2 linked regions of the Drosophila melanogaster genome follow. The protein of the gene in region 1 purifies or fractionates together with the protein of each later gene. This does not show direct contact. Each region holds a gene or a part of one and is shown in the gene's direction. Other genes may lie near its edges.

Region 1 (8,031 bases):
GAAACAGCGACTATTTTGATTTCCAGAAGCAGCAAACACAATGTTCAATTAAAAACAGATTTAATTACGTTAAAAAAATGAAACTTAATGCTAGTTCATAACAAAAAAAAAGATTTTCTAGCTTTTAACTTTGTAAATAAATATTGGAATTAGAATCCAAGAAAAACTCCATACCTTACATACAAAAAAAAAAGATTTATTTCGTTTAAAAATAACGCTTGTAACTACTTGAAAAGCTTCTCTGTTTACATTTTACAAAGTTTCAGGTTCTCCCTTGTGTTTTATTTTATATATTATATAAATTTATATAAAGTCTACGATTGGAAAGCTAATGAACAACTAGCCCCTTACTGCCCAGAGTAATCTACTTGTACAAGCGATTGTAGTTCTTGCGCCGGCGATCCTCCTCGAAGTTGTTATTCCTGGCCCACTCCTTGAGGTTGCCCTTGGAGCGCAGCATGGCGGACTTGGAGTCCACGTCGCGCAGCACGAAGGGCGAGAATCCGGCCGTGTAGTCCTGATCCAGAGCGTTCGTCTTGGTCTTGGCAACGCGCGACGGCATCTGCCTGGGCATCGGCTGATCCTCGAACAGGATCGGATTTCTCGAATGCTTGCCGCCCTGGAAGCGAGGCAGGCTCTGATTCTTGTACTTATTGGTCAGCGGACGGCGCGTATTGATGTGAATCACCTGGCGACCGTTCTCGTCCAGACTGACGGCCACACGTTTCAGCGTCTTGTTGCCACAATTGGGGCAAAACACCTTGGTCATGATGCTGGTGGTCTTGTAGCACGCGTAGCAGCGGAGTATATATGTGCGCAACTGCTTGATGATCCGGCCATTGAGGGCGGCCAGGTGGAGATTTAGCTGCTTGAGCACGTTCTGCAGCGCATAATCGGTGGTCATGCAGGCGACGGGCGGCACTTCATCCGTTTCCACTTTGCCCTCGAGCGCTTTCTTGGCCTTCTTGATGTTTGAATGCGTGATCCAGCCATCGTCACCCACATCCTCGTCGAGATTTTGGCTCTGTTTGGCTTCTTGTGGCTCGGATACCTCCTCATCTACTTCGGCCGGCTGGGAAACGAGCAGTTCCGAGAGCTCTTTCTCTTCCTCGGCACTGGGTGCGCATTTGAGCTGCTCGAACAGCTTGTCCAGCTCCTCCTGACTGGGCTCCTGGTCTTGGTCCTCCTCCTTTTCGATGGTCTCGCTGGCAAATGGTTCCTTGCCGGCCAATTGGGCTTCGATGGCGGCTTTAACAGTGTCTGGGGATTCATTTGCCTCCTGCTCATCGCCTTCAGCATCGTCCTCTTCCTGGGAGTAATCATCTTCCTCCTCGGAATCCTCCTCCTCCTCCTCTTCGCCCTCGGGCATGTACCAACCGACCAGTCTCTTGTTATTAGCATCCTGCATCTCCTCGGGTTTATCCTTGGACGCAATGGTCTGCGCCATCACAGGCTCCTGGCGCAGGTGATCAGTGCCCACGTTGTCTGCTTCCAGTTCGTAGGTGAGCGAGATCACTTTCAGATCGATCCCCGAGAGACTCGCGTAGTCACCCGTTTTCTTGGCGAACTCCACGCAGTGTTTAATGCTCTCCGGACGAGGCTCGCGCACCTGGAGGTCGAAGGGCAGAACGCAGAGGCGGCGAATCTGGCGCTTGTTGCGCACTTCGGCCACCACATCCGGCACGGTGAGCACCTGCTCCGCGTATTCCTGTAGGGGATTAGTGGCGGCTTTAGATGGCTCGAATGGGCAAATTGTGCGTGACTTACATTCAGGGGCACGGCGTTTATAAAGGCTGTGGTGTCCGCCACAAGGAACTTGATCTTTTCGCTCGTTTCGGCCATTTTCAGTGCTAATTTTCACATGAAAAACAAAGGACGGCAAAAAATAACAATTTCTGCACGTGTCGCGATTAGTGTGGCTGTAGTGAGCTGTGACCGTTACGTTAGGGTATGCTAAAAATACCAAAAAGTGTTTATGAATTTGTGATTTTAATATTAGTTAATTAAATTTTACATTTTTAAGAGTTAGGCAAAGCTAAATGAATGCGTTCCCTAAAATTTTATTGCTAGCTCTCAATAAAATTGTTAAAATTAATTCATGTTAAAATATATTTCTATGAGATATTATATTATTATCACAGGGAGATATCGGTCCTGACTACTTAGACTTTCGGCCGGACTGTTGGAAAATTACCAAATTTACTTAACAAACTACAAAAAACATCAGTTAAACAAAATATCACTTGACTTAACTTATATTAACATATTTACAGATATGAAAAAATGTAGTAAAATGCCTGGTCTGAGAAATCTATTAATTTGCTGCAGATTTTCAAAAAGCTCATTAGAAGGTCTGCCAGTTTGATCTTCTTGTTTATTTTTTTTTTAACATATTTTCGTATTATCAATACAACTTCTACGAATCAATCACTTAAGCAAGCTATCTTTGCTAATTTTTCAATTTGTAGGCTTGTAAGTGCATTGGATTACATTCAAATTATTTTATTAATTGGCAATGGAATATTCTAGGGTGCTTGCGATATATGGATGCACACTCGCAGCACGGTCACACTGCCCGGCCCATTTAGCTGACAGTTCCATCTCTAGTTTTCAAGCCAAATATGGCGAAGTTTTCATTATCAATTCGTTCAGATAGCAAACTGAATTAGTGAAAGGTGGACGATTTTAAACGGAACGGAGCCAATCCGCCGGATTTTGTGAAAGCCCAACCGAGCGGTACAAGTGTGTTATTCGCTAATAGGCTAATCAATCCAGTGGACACGGTATGTGGGGCCAATGGCAAACCGCCGCCGCAGTGGCTCCCACTGCCGCTCTACCTCCGCAACCGTCGGTTCCGCCACCGTTGCCGGACGCCCCGCCCCCTCCGCCTCCATCGGACGCGACCGCCGGAGCCGGAGCATCAAGCGGTGCCTCTGCACCCATAGTCACGACTGCAGCCGCAGTCACAACGGCCCCTGGATTCAACCCCTATAGCAGCGGCCAGGCGACGGGGGCTGGCAACCCCTATCAACAGTATACGGCCGCCCAGTACGCGGCCATGACACCCGAACAGCAGTACGCACTGCAGCACCACTGGCAACAGTGGCAGACATACCAGGAGGAGTACGCCAAGTGGCATGCCCAGTACGGTGAGCAGGTGGGTCAAATCAATTAGTTATCGACGATCATATTGCTATAGTAGTCTTCCAAATCTTTAGTATAAGCGTGAAATGGCCGCAGCCGCGGCCACAACTACCGCAGTTCAAGGCGTGCCCGCGCCTGTGGTAGCGACTCCTGCAGCAGCACCCGTCCCTGTGGTCGCTCCTCCCGGGCCACAGGCCTATCCTGTCGCACATAACTATTACCAAGGTGTCAGCGCCTCGCCGGCGCAGTCAACTACACCCGTAGCCGTCGCGGGAGCACCGCCACTGCCCGGTAAGATCATGGCCCAGCCGCAGATGTACAACCAGCCGCCGCCGCCACCACAAAAAGGCGGTTACAATCAGCATCCGAATGACATCCAAAGCATGTGGTCAGGACCACCGCCAATGCAACAGCCGCCGCCAAATAGATATGGTGGCGGTCAAATGAACCAGATGAACTACAACATTGCCGGGCAAGACAACCAGGGATTTCCGAATCTCCAGCAGCCGCCGCCAAGTTTGCAGAGACCAACACCGCAACAGCAGCAGCCGCATTTAAACCATATGGACCATGGCCAGTGGGGAAATAATCAACACGGTGTGGGCAATAATAATCGTCCTACCTGGGATACCAGTGGTCCGCCGCCTGATAATACCGGCCAACCCAATCGCTGGAATGGCCCGCCGCCGGCAAATGATGTCAACAATCGCTGGAATGGAACGTCATTTAACAATAACACCAATGATGGCAATCGCCGCTGGGATGGGACTTCAAATCAAGCGCCGTCTGGCGGGGATCAGCAACTAAATCGTTGGATGAGCGAACCACCGCCAAGCCTTCCGAATCCCAATCAGCAGTATCAAAACCAGAATTCCTGGATGAGCGGACCACCACCGAGTATAAGTGATCCGCCACAGGACCATCAGCAGCAAAACAATAGCAGCCAGAATGCCCGCTCGAGTCGCTGGCAAGGAATCAATTCCGACATCGATACACCGCCAATGAGGACTAACAACAAGCCAAATAGCATCCAGAATAGCCGCAATAGTTGGGGTGATGGAGGTGGAGATGGAAACCAAAGCAAGAACCCATTCATTAAGAATCCACAGTCCGATTTTGGCAATTATGGCAACAGTTACAATAGCCAAGATCAAGGTAGTGCAGGAGGAGGCAACTTTGGCGGCTTTGGAGATGATAGTGGAGGCAAGCAAAGCCAGGACAGTTTTGCTGGACGTGGTGGAGGACCCGGCAATAATATTAATAATAACTTTAGTAACAATCGCCGCCAGAACAATCGACGGGATAACAATCGTAACCAGGGATTTTCCGATGAGAGAGGCGGTGGGGATTCTGGTCCAGGCGGCTACAATCCAAATCGTGGCAATTACAATCAGCGCAACAGCTTCAATCAGTCGAATGCGCCCTACAAGCAGTCGCAGCAGAACCGCAATCAACAGCAACCACCCGATTTGGACGAGGCCAGTTTCGATCTGCTGTTCGATCAGTGGGAGCAACAGTTCGAAGAATGGAAGCTGGCCAATGCCAACCATCCGGATCGTGACGAGTATCGACGCTACGAGGAGGAGTTCGAGAAGCAGCGCCGTCGCATCGCCGAGAGAAGGGAGCAGATGCGCCGACGTCGCCAACTGCAGATGGGTGGTTCGGCAGGAGGCTCGACCACAGACATAAGGAAGGAAGCAGCCGCAGGTGCATCCACGACCGCGGAGCAGAAGCCAAATAAGGATCCCTTCGAAGGCCAGGGCCGTTTTGCCGATCAGGGTGACCAGGATCACGGATCGGGTCCCAACTTCGGAAACGGGAACAGACAGTCCGGAAATGCTGGTCATTTTGGAAAAGAGAATCGCCCCTTCGAAAGCGCCGGAGTACCTGCATTCAGAGGCAACCAAGGACCGCCACCGGGGATGCACAACCAGTACCAAACCGCCCAGGAAGCCATCCAGCAGATATTGGACGAACAGCCAGATGAATCCAACCAGGAAATTCCAACCAAGCCGGCGGCATCAAATGAAAATTCATCTGATGTAAAGAAAGCAAAAACGACAGCTTCCCCAGTGGCTCCACCGATTGCACCCGTGGTGCCGCCCGAAGTTAAAGCTCCAGCTGCACCAGTAGTGCCAGATCCGACAGTGGTTCCGCCCACGCAGCCTCCTCCGGTTTCCACAAATTATGGCAAGCGCCGTCAAAGAGCTGCTCCCTCACAAATACCCGCTAAGCAAGTCAAGGAGGAGGAGCCCATATTCACCATTTCCCTGGACGACGACGACGACGATGATGAGGAGAAAGAGGTGGTACAGGACGCACCTAACACGCCCATGGGCAGCATTTTCAAGAAGAACGATGGCATACCCGGTCTGGATTTGGTGGACGATGGCAGTAACAAGAATAATTCGTCCTCAGTCTTCAATGTGGTGCTCAAGGATTCCAGCGAAAAGAAAGCGGCTGATGAAACTGAAAAACAGCCAGGCGACGTGTCCGCCGACAAGAAGGGCGACGAATCTCTAAGCAATGCCCTCAAGGATCCAAATTTCATTAACAATCTCTCCCAGGCGGTGGCCAATGTACAGGAACGCGAGCAGCGCGATCGTCACGAGCAACGCGATGATCAGGAATCGGGTACGGATGGACGTCCATTGTCCTTCGCCGAGTGGCAGCGCAAGAAGAACAGCGGCAACGAAAACAAGTCGCAGGATGCCGGCGACTCGGTGAGCACCAATAACGGTGAGAAACCGGACAATAATGGCCCACCTGGTGGCTTTGGTCCCGGAAACGGACCAGGCGGAGGTCCAGGTTCTGGTCCAGGTCAAAACGATGGATCACGTTTCGATGTCTTTGGACCAAATCAAGTGTCTGGAAATAATTTCATTGACTTAGATAACAATGGTCCACCTGGCTTTGGACCACCGGGCAGGAACTTTGGACCCAACGGTCCAGGACCGCGTGGAAACTTTGGACCCAACTTCGGGCACAACTTTGGACCTAGAGGTCCGGGCGGGCCGTTCATTAGACCAAATGGACCGTTACCGGGTCCGGGTCCGAATTTCGGACCACACTTCAGACCAAATGGCCCCAACTTTGGACCAAACTTTGGGCCCAATTTCGGACCGCGTCCGGGTTCCCGCAACTTCGGGCCTCGCGGACCCGATGGTCCTTTCGGTCCGGGACGTGATGACTTTGGCGGTCCGCCGTTTGGCGGTCCACGACCCCACATGGGACCCAATGGACCAGGTCACAATATGCGCGGCTTTAACGGTGGACCAATCAGTGATAATCCCTTCCGACGCCAAGGCGGCCCACCGGGTCCGGGCTTTGGCAACGATGATCTGGGCGCAGGACCACCGAGAGGACCCAGAAACTTTGGCAACCGCTTTGGAAATCCAGGCGGAGGTGGTGGTGGAGGAGGAGGAGGAGGAAACAACAATCGGAAGAACTGGAATGACGGGTATGTGTCTTCAATCTGTTTTTAACTTTTTCGACTTGATTGAATATCTTTTCACTACGTATACAATAATATCGAAATGTTATATCTTGACAAAAAATTGTGGAACGGGGAAAGATGATTCTTTCCCCTCCCACTATGCTCTGCCAAATTCCAATATCAATTGTCTGATTGTCTGAGGAAGATATGGGAACGTTATCTTCTCAAGAGCACTTGCTATTAGTATTCATTTGGATGGTACAATCTGGAAATATGTTTGTTTTGGGGAAATTCAAGTAGGGCTGCATGCATATCTTTGAAACGTTAAAAAAAAACAACCTTAAACAACATTATCCATTCAGTAAATTCGTTGATTTTGTATTAAGTACAGATGCTATTTGCACTTATAGTTACTGTTTTAAGTGTTTTTATTATGAATAATCAGTCCATTATTATGCCTAATCAATCCATGCGTTGGGGGTTAACCCAAACCCAAAACATTATCAAAAACCTGTGGGCCGTCGAATGATTGTTTGTCCGAATGTACGCAGTACTATCGCCTATCGATGGGCTAACAAATATCTGAAATATCTGATGCAACGTTTTCGAATAAGTAGACAATCTGCTTCCTATGCTTATTTATTCAGCTCTATTCACATTACGCATATCCGTGGGATGCCTTCTCAAACGGCCTGATGTTCAGATAGCCTATAGATATATATATATATATATATATATATATATATCGTTCTCGTTGGGCACTATTCCGCTCGATCCCCCCTCTTACCCACATTTTTGTAACCCTTCACTTTCTCTATCTGTATCTGTATTGATATCATCAAATTTAATTTAGTTAACTTGTCCAGGCCATTTTCTAGTTATCTTTAATGCTGGAATTTCGATTCCAACCCCGTTTTTTTCTTCTTCTCTTCTACTTTTATGCAATACTGATATATAAATACTGAATATAAAAATATAATTAAAACAATCTTACAAACGAACGATAACCAAATCGAATACGAAAACCAACACGCAAATGAATATCTAAACGGTGGTATTGATTGATTGTTGGCGATGTTCCCGATACCTATGCATATATGCATATATCCACCAATCTGTGTCTGATCCATTGTCTGTGCAGCAAGAGAAGGGGGCGGTAGGAAGCTCCAGCAACGGCAGCAGCAGCGCAGGACCTGATCTTTGATCTCTGAACTCTGAACTCTGAACTCTGAACTCTGAACTCTGAACTCTGAACTCTGAACTCTGAACACTCGAATTCGGGATCTGATTAGGCGACAGAGGACAGACTTTGTTTTGGGGGGCGGCTATCCGAGGGAGGGCAGATCGTGAAAACTCCTCGAAAATAAACATACTTAAATATATATAACTAGCTATATATACATGCAGCGTACAGAAGTCAGAGAAAGATCTATAATATTAAGATTATCACG
Region 2 (7,978 bases), 390 kb from region 1:
CCGACGTGGGCGAGGTAATCAGTCCGAAATCCGTGCGCCGCATTCTGGGCTACGGATTGCCCGATTCCATTAATAATTCCCGTCGCGGCTCCATCGTCGTCAGGTTCTCCATCCAGTTTCCAGACGCCATATCCAAAGAACTCGCATCCTCGCTCGACAGACTTCTGCAAAACTGATCGAATGGACACCTGGAGATGTTATCCGTCTTTATGAACGGATCAACGGATCATACATACAACAAAAAATCATCTGTGCTCCACATAAAATTACATATTTTTTTTCTATGTGATTCAATAAAGATCTTATAATCTACCTCTAACAAGCATTGTCCGCTACAAATACCTCTAATAAGAATGAAACCAGTGAAGTACAGTTTAATTATACGTATAATGATTAAACACAATTGTGAGGGGTCAGGTTTAAACGTCGGCCGGTTTGAACTGCGGATTGTGCGAGCGTGCCATCTTGGCGCGCAGCCACTCGTCCGCGTGACGCTGCTTAATGTGGACATACATATTGGAGCGGGAACGGCACTCCTTGGGGCAATGCGGACAGTTGTACAGCTGCAGGCCCGTGTGGATGGCCATGTGCTCGTCCAGGTTGCGCTGCTGCTTGAAGGTTTTCTCGCAGAACGTGCACTGCAGATTGGTGGTCAGCTTGTGGGCATATTTGACGTGACCGCGGAGCGCTGTGCGCGATGTGCAGGTCTTGCCACAATGCGGACACACGGTGTCCGTGCTGTCGTGTGTGAAGCGGTGCAGGCGCAAGCTGTGCTCGTTCTTCAGCCAAACACGGCAGATGGGGCACTCCACAGCCGGGGCCACGACGCCCTGGTGCTCCAGCAAATGGCGCTCGAAGGAGGGCTTGAACTTGAACTTCTTCCCGCAAATGTCGCAAACGTGACGATGCAGGTCTTCGTGGATGGATTGGATGTGCCTTCGCAGGCGGTGTACATTGGCAAAGCTGTAACAGATAATTTCATATCAAATACTCAACTTGCAAGACAGTTTTTTTATCTTAAAAAAATTATTTCTTTCTTGCTATTCTCGAAACAGTGTGAGTGCGGAATAAGTAGACAGCTATCCCTCTCATTTGCGTGTGGAATGAATAAAGATTACTAATTCAAATATGGGGCAAGAATTCCAATTCGATCAGAGACCCTGCTCTATTCTCACCTTTTGCAGCAGATCTCGCAGGTGTGCTCCAGTTGATCGGTGTCGTGCTTGGCCAGATGATTGGCCATACGGCGCTCGCTGCTGAAGGTGCGTTCGCACTTGGGGCACGGGAACTTGAGCACCTTGCCGATTTGAGCCACCTTGTTGTGCACCGTCTCGATATGAGTGGCCAAGTAGTCCTGCGAGTTGAGCGACTTCTTGCAAATGGTGCAGCTATGGGATTTTAAAGTCTATGTAGCAACAGACAGAACCCTCGGGCTTCAAACTCACGTAAATAGCTTGGGGTTGATATGTTTGCGGATGTGGTCCATCAGCTTGGAAGCGCGTGTAAAGACTTTGCCGCAGCACTTGATGTAGTACTCGCGCTGGTGCACCTCCAGGAAGTGGGTCTTCAATTCGGATAGGTAGGGAGCACTAAATTCGCACAGGTCGCAGCTTGCACTCATGTAGCTAGCAATGGCCTTCTCGTAGCTCTTGGCCAGCTGAGCACGGGAGCAGCCCTTGGGCTTGCGCTCGAGAACGGCCTGTAGCTCGGACTCCTGCGACTCGGTGGTTGTTCGCTGGTCAGGTGCCTTCCTGCGCCGACGCTTGCCACCATCGTCGAGCAGATCTGCAAGCTCCTGCTGCAGCGATATCGGACCCTGATCCTTGGAGGAACGTGCCGAGGTTTTGCGCTTGGGCTTCATTTTCGATTTCAGACGGACCAGGGGTTCATCTGCAATGGAACAGGAACTTAGTTACGGCTAATCCTTGGGAAACATTAAGATAATAACCATCTGAGGAGTCAGATTCAGATTCCGGCTGCCCCTCGGTCACCTCCGGTTCGCTATCACTAGCTTGCAGGCAGGGCTTCTCGTCCTCCTCCTCCTCGCAGGGCAGCTGCTCCTTGATCGGTTCCCTGACTTCCACACTGTCCACATTCACGTCCAGCACGCTTCCCAGCAGACTAAGGTTGTGCAGGTCCAACGGTTTCTCGTCCATGTCGCCAGCCGCCAGCGGCAGTTCGTCGATGTTGACGTCCACGTCCACACCGCCCGTCCACTTCATGGCCGCACAGTCGACGTCCACGGTAAGGAACTCCTTCTTGAGTGAGCACTGCTTCTGCTCCACCAGCTGCCAGAAGCCATTGAAGTCCTCCAGATGCTCACAGCACTCGGTACAGACGCTGGTCGAGATGCCGTCGTCTGGTAGGATCTGCATGGGATGGCTTATTGGAATTGTTTTGATACCATTGGTATTTGCCAGATACACTCACCTCCAGCTGCAGAAACTTCGCAATCATCTTGACCAGGCGCGTCTCCGCAAGCGTATCGTCCGTCTCAAAGAGGAAGACAGCGCTTCCGGGACTAAGACATCGCAGGCAAAGGCGACAAATCATTTCGCGCGAACAGAACCACAACGCAAAGTCAAATAAATAAAAAATTTAAACAGTTTTTCGTTGTAAACAACATAATTCACCTATCGTGAATCGATAACAGAATCCAATTGTGAATGGCAAAACTTCATCTCAGGAGTTTTTTGCGGGGTGGCCACCCTGATCGTTGAGTATTTCTCTTTAATTTCTCTTACAATTTATGGTCTACGTTTTTAATTGTCTGCAAAATACGCTGTAAACGATTATCCATTAATTAAAAATCGAAAATATGAAACTTAATATATCGCTGGATACACATCAAAACGATGGCATTCTGCGGACGGTCAGGCAGCACGCCAATCGACCCACACAACTCTGGCAACGCTTGCCGTAAAATGGCAAAAAAATAATACATACGATTTAAAACTAATGGACAATTACGTATTACGTGAAAAGAACGCAACGCAAATAATCAAAACAAATAAGAAACGCAACTCGTGTGCGTGTGTAGTGTGTGTGCAGAGCTAAAACCTAGCGAAGGAAAGGCAAAAACCCGTGGAAAAAGCGAATTCAAACGGGTTTACTCGAAGCCTCCTCACCCGATACCATTTTCCACCTACACTTGCAAAAAAGCGACAGCGCGCGAGAGGGACGGCGCGAGTGAGCGGAGAGTGGGAGAGCGCAGTGCAAGTGAGTGGGAGCGAGAGCGCTGACAAAGCCAGCGCAACATAGCGAAAATCGCAACCAAATCGAAATCGAAATTCAACCAAATCGAAGATTCTGGCGAACAAAGGCGACTAACAACAACAACTGCAGCAGCGGCACGTCTCGTCTTGGTTGCGCTCTCTTTTGTTTTCGTCCCGTGTTTTAACAAGCGGCGAAACGGGCGCTGAGTAAGCGCCAGAAAGAGTGCAAAAAAAAGGCGAAGGAAAGAAAGAAGCCAAGGAGCAACGAACTGTGTTTGCGGTGTGTGCTCTGCGTGCGAAAGGGTAAGCTCTATGGTCTCTCATGCTCTCGCTCTGGAAGTAGGCCGGAACCGAGATTTGTTTGCTAAATTATGTTTAATTGCACAGCGGGTTTGTAAATCTGTGATTTTGTTTGTAGAAAATACGCATTGTATCAAAGAAATATTTTTGTCGGTTCTGTCAAATTCGACGTGTGGGAGTGGGAGGGAAGTTCAGCTAGTCATGTTGTCCCGCTCTATATCGCAAACAGCGTTGCATTTGTCGTCGGCAGGTCATCGTGGTCCGTTTTCTCTTTTTGTCGGCATCGATGCATAGAGTCCGTGTTAATTTCCGTTTAATCGCTAAATAGCACGCTCTCTAATTGTTTAATAATTGCCAGGCGACTGCCACCCCCGGAATTAGTTTCACTCGGCGGTCTGGCTGGATCCCAACGGACCAGGTGGCAACGCCGCGCTCCACACCACTCACGCACGCAATACATTCGAAAAGTGAGAAGTGGTAGAGGAAGAACTCGAGGAAGAAGAATTAGCGGCAAACTTTATGTTGGACGGTGAAAAGCAGAATCAAAAGATATCAATTTCCGCGAAGTTAACAGTTAAATAACCAACATACAGGCGGCCAAGTGTGCCAGCAGACCGCGAAACATTCGAAGTAAACAAATTCAAGCGTTTTCCATTCAGTTTATCATCGCTGCCCAACAAACGAAACTCCCCGAGTGTATTGCTGTGTGCGTGCGTGCTGTTTAAACGGTATATTTTACTCGTCTCTCCTCTTTGTTTGCCTTTGCCAGCCACTGTGCCATGCAAAATTAATAAAAGGATACGGCTGTAAAACAAAAGGTGGTCAAAAAAAAAAATTGCACTCGTCGATTAAATAATAACTATCAAATCCTCTCGGTTTCTGCGAACGTAAGTGTGTGTGTGTGCGTGATGTGTGCGCCTGTGCCTGCGTGGTGTTAGTGTGCGTTGTGCTTGTGAATGGTTGTTATTACAAAAAGGAGACATAGAATTGTTGCCAAGCGTTTAGATTGTCTTGTACTCCCCCCACTTGCATCTGTCAAATTGGTTACATTTTAAATGCCGGCCTTTGTTGTTGTCGCTCTTGTTGCGAGGATTTTACTGGCCCCGTTTTTTCTATTGTTGCTGTAGTTGTCAGCCATTGTTCGGCCGCCCCTTCACGCCCCCTGCCGCAATTATTACAAGACGCCACCGCAAAAAATTCTTTCAATGCGTTGCCGCTTCTGCCGCTGCTGGCGCTGGTGTGTGTGTGTGGGTAAATCTATCTAGCTGTCCCGCTTCCGCTGTCACCCGCCCAAGGCAGCCTCTCAGTTGCGTGTGCTGCGAGGCACTGGCTGTCCTGCTCGCACCAAACATTGCCTGCATTCAGTGTCGGATCAAAGGGGGGAGCGAAACTGGGAAATAGTTGCCCCAAACGTTTTCGTAATAAACGCAATATCAACAAAATACCAAATGATTCTACAAACAGTTTCGAATGGTAGTAGTCGAATGGAATTACACTCTAGTTGTTACTTTAACGAAGCATTAAGAACTTGAACGTATTTCGCAACAGCATGTGTTGGAAAACTACCAAGAAACTTCTTTAGTTTCAGTGGAAATGAAATATCAAAAGCATTTCTACTAAAACTCGGTTTAGTTGAAACCCATACCTATTATTGTTTGAAGAGGTTATTTTCCAAATTATTTGCAATATCTTTCTAAGAAGAACCAATTTTCGCTACAGATCCACCTCTGTAAGCGTTAGTGGTGCGGATCGGTTGGGGGTGGCTAAATAGAGGAGTTCCCGGACACACAATAACCAGCGTGTTGAAAACAATTTGTCGGGAGCACCACCCACTTGCAACTGACTAGCCTCGCCTCGCTACGCCTGCACCTATACTCAATTAAATGCCTATCTACGCTTTTGTATTTTGCAGCCCACCAGAAAGACTGAAACAAGGAGCTTCGGCCCAAAAGCGATCCCAGCTCCTTAAACTCATTCTCGTCAAGAACCACAGCCACATCCTAGCCCATCCTCCAGCGCAGCGGGAAGACGAGGAGCGCGGCGGTGGCGAGAAGGAAGCTAACGCTAATGAGGATCTATTGGCAGCATGAGTACACTGGGGGGAAGTAGGGGAGAGCGAAATGCCAAGCCCAAATTCACAGCGTTAGATATAAATCGCATGTACAAGAATAGCCGCGTAAGTAGCGAGCCCCTAGACCTAGATCTAGATCTACATCTAGATCTTGATAGATCCAAACCTATCTGATCGCCAACTTGTTCTTATTGTTTGCAGGGCGAGTCAAGTGAACCATCTGCACAAAAGAATCAAGTGCCACGTAAACATGGAATGCAAATCTTGGGCAAAGTGCCGTCCGCTAGGCGACCACCAGCCAATTTGCCATCCCTGAAGGCCGAGACCCACACCAGCAGCAACAACAATCTCTTAGTCTCAGTCGAAGGTGGGTGTTCTACGATTTTATCTTATTGAAAGCGTGTGTACTAAGATGTACCTTTAACTGGGTGAATTTTCCATTTTAGGAGCCACATCTGGTGGGGCGGGCGCAGGCGGAGCAGCGGGATCTGGCGCGGCAGGAACCAACACTAGCCACAACAACACCACTGCCCACAGCGGAAGTTCAGGAACGAGCGGCGGAGCGGGATCAGGCGGCGGAGGAACTGCGTCTTCATCTGCTGGTGGCCATCTATCCCAGCAGCTGACTCACAGCCAGCATCAGCACAATAATAACGTCGCTCTCGGCCCTAACGCCGGAAAGTTTGTCAACAGCAACAACGGCAGCAGCAACAACAACGCCGGCAGCTCAGGCAGCGGCAACAAGAACTTCAAATTAATCAACAACTCCGTGGGCAGTTCCGGCGGAGGCGGACAAGGAGGGTCGGGCGGCGGCGGATCGTCAGGAGTAGGAGGTGGATCAGGGTCAGGATCGGGCGGACACTCAGTCAACTCACCCAAGACATGGTCTGCAATTACCACAGGACACGAGCGGGGCTCGGGCGGTCAGAACTATGGACGCCAGCAACAGCAGGTGGTCCCCCATTATCAGAGTCCACAGTTCCAGTACGAATTTCCCACGCTGGACGGCACAGTTGGCAGCGGCGCCGGCGGAGGATCGGGAGCGGGTGTGGGTTCAGGATCTGGAGCGGGCAAGAGCCATTACCAGAATCAGGTGCACCATGCCGGCCACCAAAACCATCACCAGCATCAGCAGCACCACCAGCAGCATCAACAGCACCACCACCAGCAGCAACAGCACCATCGGGACTACCACCATGGCCACGGGCGCCAGTATGGACACCACTCGCATCGCGACTACAGAGATGGCAGCGACGACGTCGGCGGCGGGTCCGCGGATCTGGGCGAGCTCAGCCTTCGGCCACAGAACGACACGGCCGCCTGGTTGCAGCAGCAGGAGAAGGCGGCCAAGGTGGCAGCAGCTGCGGCAGCGGACCAGGGCCTCAACCTACAGGGCCCGGGCCACCATCAGATGGGCGGTAATGGCGGAGCAGGAGGAGGGTCGGGCGGAGCTGTGCCCCTGCCCATACTATCGCTGATGCCCTCGTTCATGCGTAGCGGAGCTCCGATGCCCGCCAGTGGAGCGACAGCGGCCAGCATCTTGGCCGGCGGATCGTTGGACACTTCTGCGTTGCCCAACGCTCCCTACCAGAACGGAATCCTGGGTGCTCGGTCTGCCTCGCCAGCTGTGGTGGGCAGTGGAAGCTTCAGGGCGGCCACTGCCATTCCCAAGCGACCACCGACCTCCTCGTCGCCCCCACAATCTGGCCTAGGCATTGGAGGATCACCCACTCCCCCACAATCCCAGCAGCAGGCCAACGGAGGCGCTGGCGGAGCCGGGCGCAAGGATAAGGACTACGTGGTGGAGCCGGAGGTGGCCCAAATGCAGCGTCCTATCATACGCGAAGAGGACTTGGAGCGCCTCAACGCCATCGCCAAGGACGATAGCTGGACCAAGCAGGACGACATTGACTTCACGAAGAAACTAGCATTCTCGGACGATGAGTCCACTCCGGAAGAGCACCAAGGCCAGGGCAAGCAGCACAGCTCCGCCCAACTGCAGGCGCAAGGATCCTCCTCCTCAACCGATCAACGAAAGCTGTCCGCTTCCACAACCAGTTGGCAGCGCGGCAAGGAGAGCACCGATCGCGACCAGCCATCGGAAGGCATTCAGGATCAGCAGCAGCAGCTTCAGCAGCAACAGCAGCAGCAAGAGGTTCGCCAACAGAATGGCCACCGCGGTAGCTCTGGCAACGTTGGAGCACCAGTGGCCGGTGGAATTGCCTTGGATGCCAGCGTGTACGAGCGAGTAAAGCAGCGCAAGGAGGAGGAAGAGCGTCGCGAGATGGAACGCAAGCAGGCGGCTGCTAAGAAGTTGCAAGAACTGGAAATGAAGATGAATAGCAAAAAGGCAGCGGCTGCGGCTCTGGCTGGAGCCGAGGGCGGCGTGTCC

What was found. The genes of interacting proteins can lie anywhere in the genome.
Region 2: the proteins of ZAP3 (region 1) and nocte purify together in Drosophila melanogaster (affinity purification with mass spectrometry, with the first as the bait; one large-scale study listed by BioGRID). This does not show direct contact.

The regions. Positions count from the first base shown.
Region 1 is NC_004354.4:10,077,059-10,085,089, reverse strand, and holds the start of ZAP3 (ZAP3), read left to right. Parts: upstream 1-2,597; 5' UTR 2,598-2,785; coding exon 2,786-3,157; intron 3,158-3,218; coding exon 3,219-6,604; intron 6,605-7,721; coding exon of another isoform or gene 7,722-7,740; exon of another isoform or gene 7,741-8,031. Other genes in the region: CG2972 (uncharacterized protein), read right to left, coding at 365-1,708, 1,768-1,842.
Region 2 is NC_004354.4:10,469,593-10,477,570, reverse strand, and holds the start of nocte (no circadian temperature entrainment), read left to right. Parts: upstream 1-2,895; 5' UTR 2,896-3,518; exon of another isoform or gene 3,519-3,633; intron 3,634-3,983; exon of another isoform or gene 3,984-4,402; intron 4,403-5,427; 5' UTR 5,428-5,601; coding exon 5,602-5,691; intron 5,692-5,787; coding exon 5,788-5,953; intron 5,954-6,032; coding exon 6,033-7,978. Other genes in the region: CG2887 (uncharacterized protein), read left to right, coding at 1-176; CG2889 (uncharacterized protein), read right to left, coding at 420-963, 1,176-1,388, 1,446-1,890, 1,949-2,369, 2,431-2,553.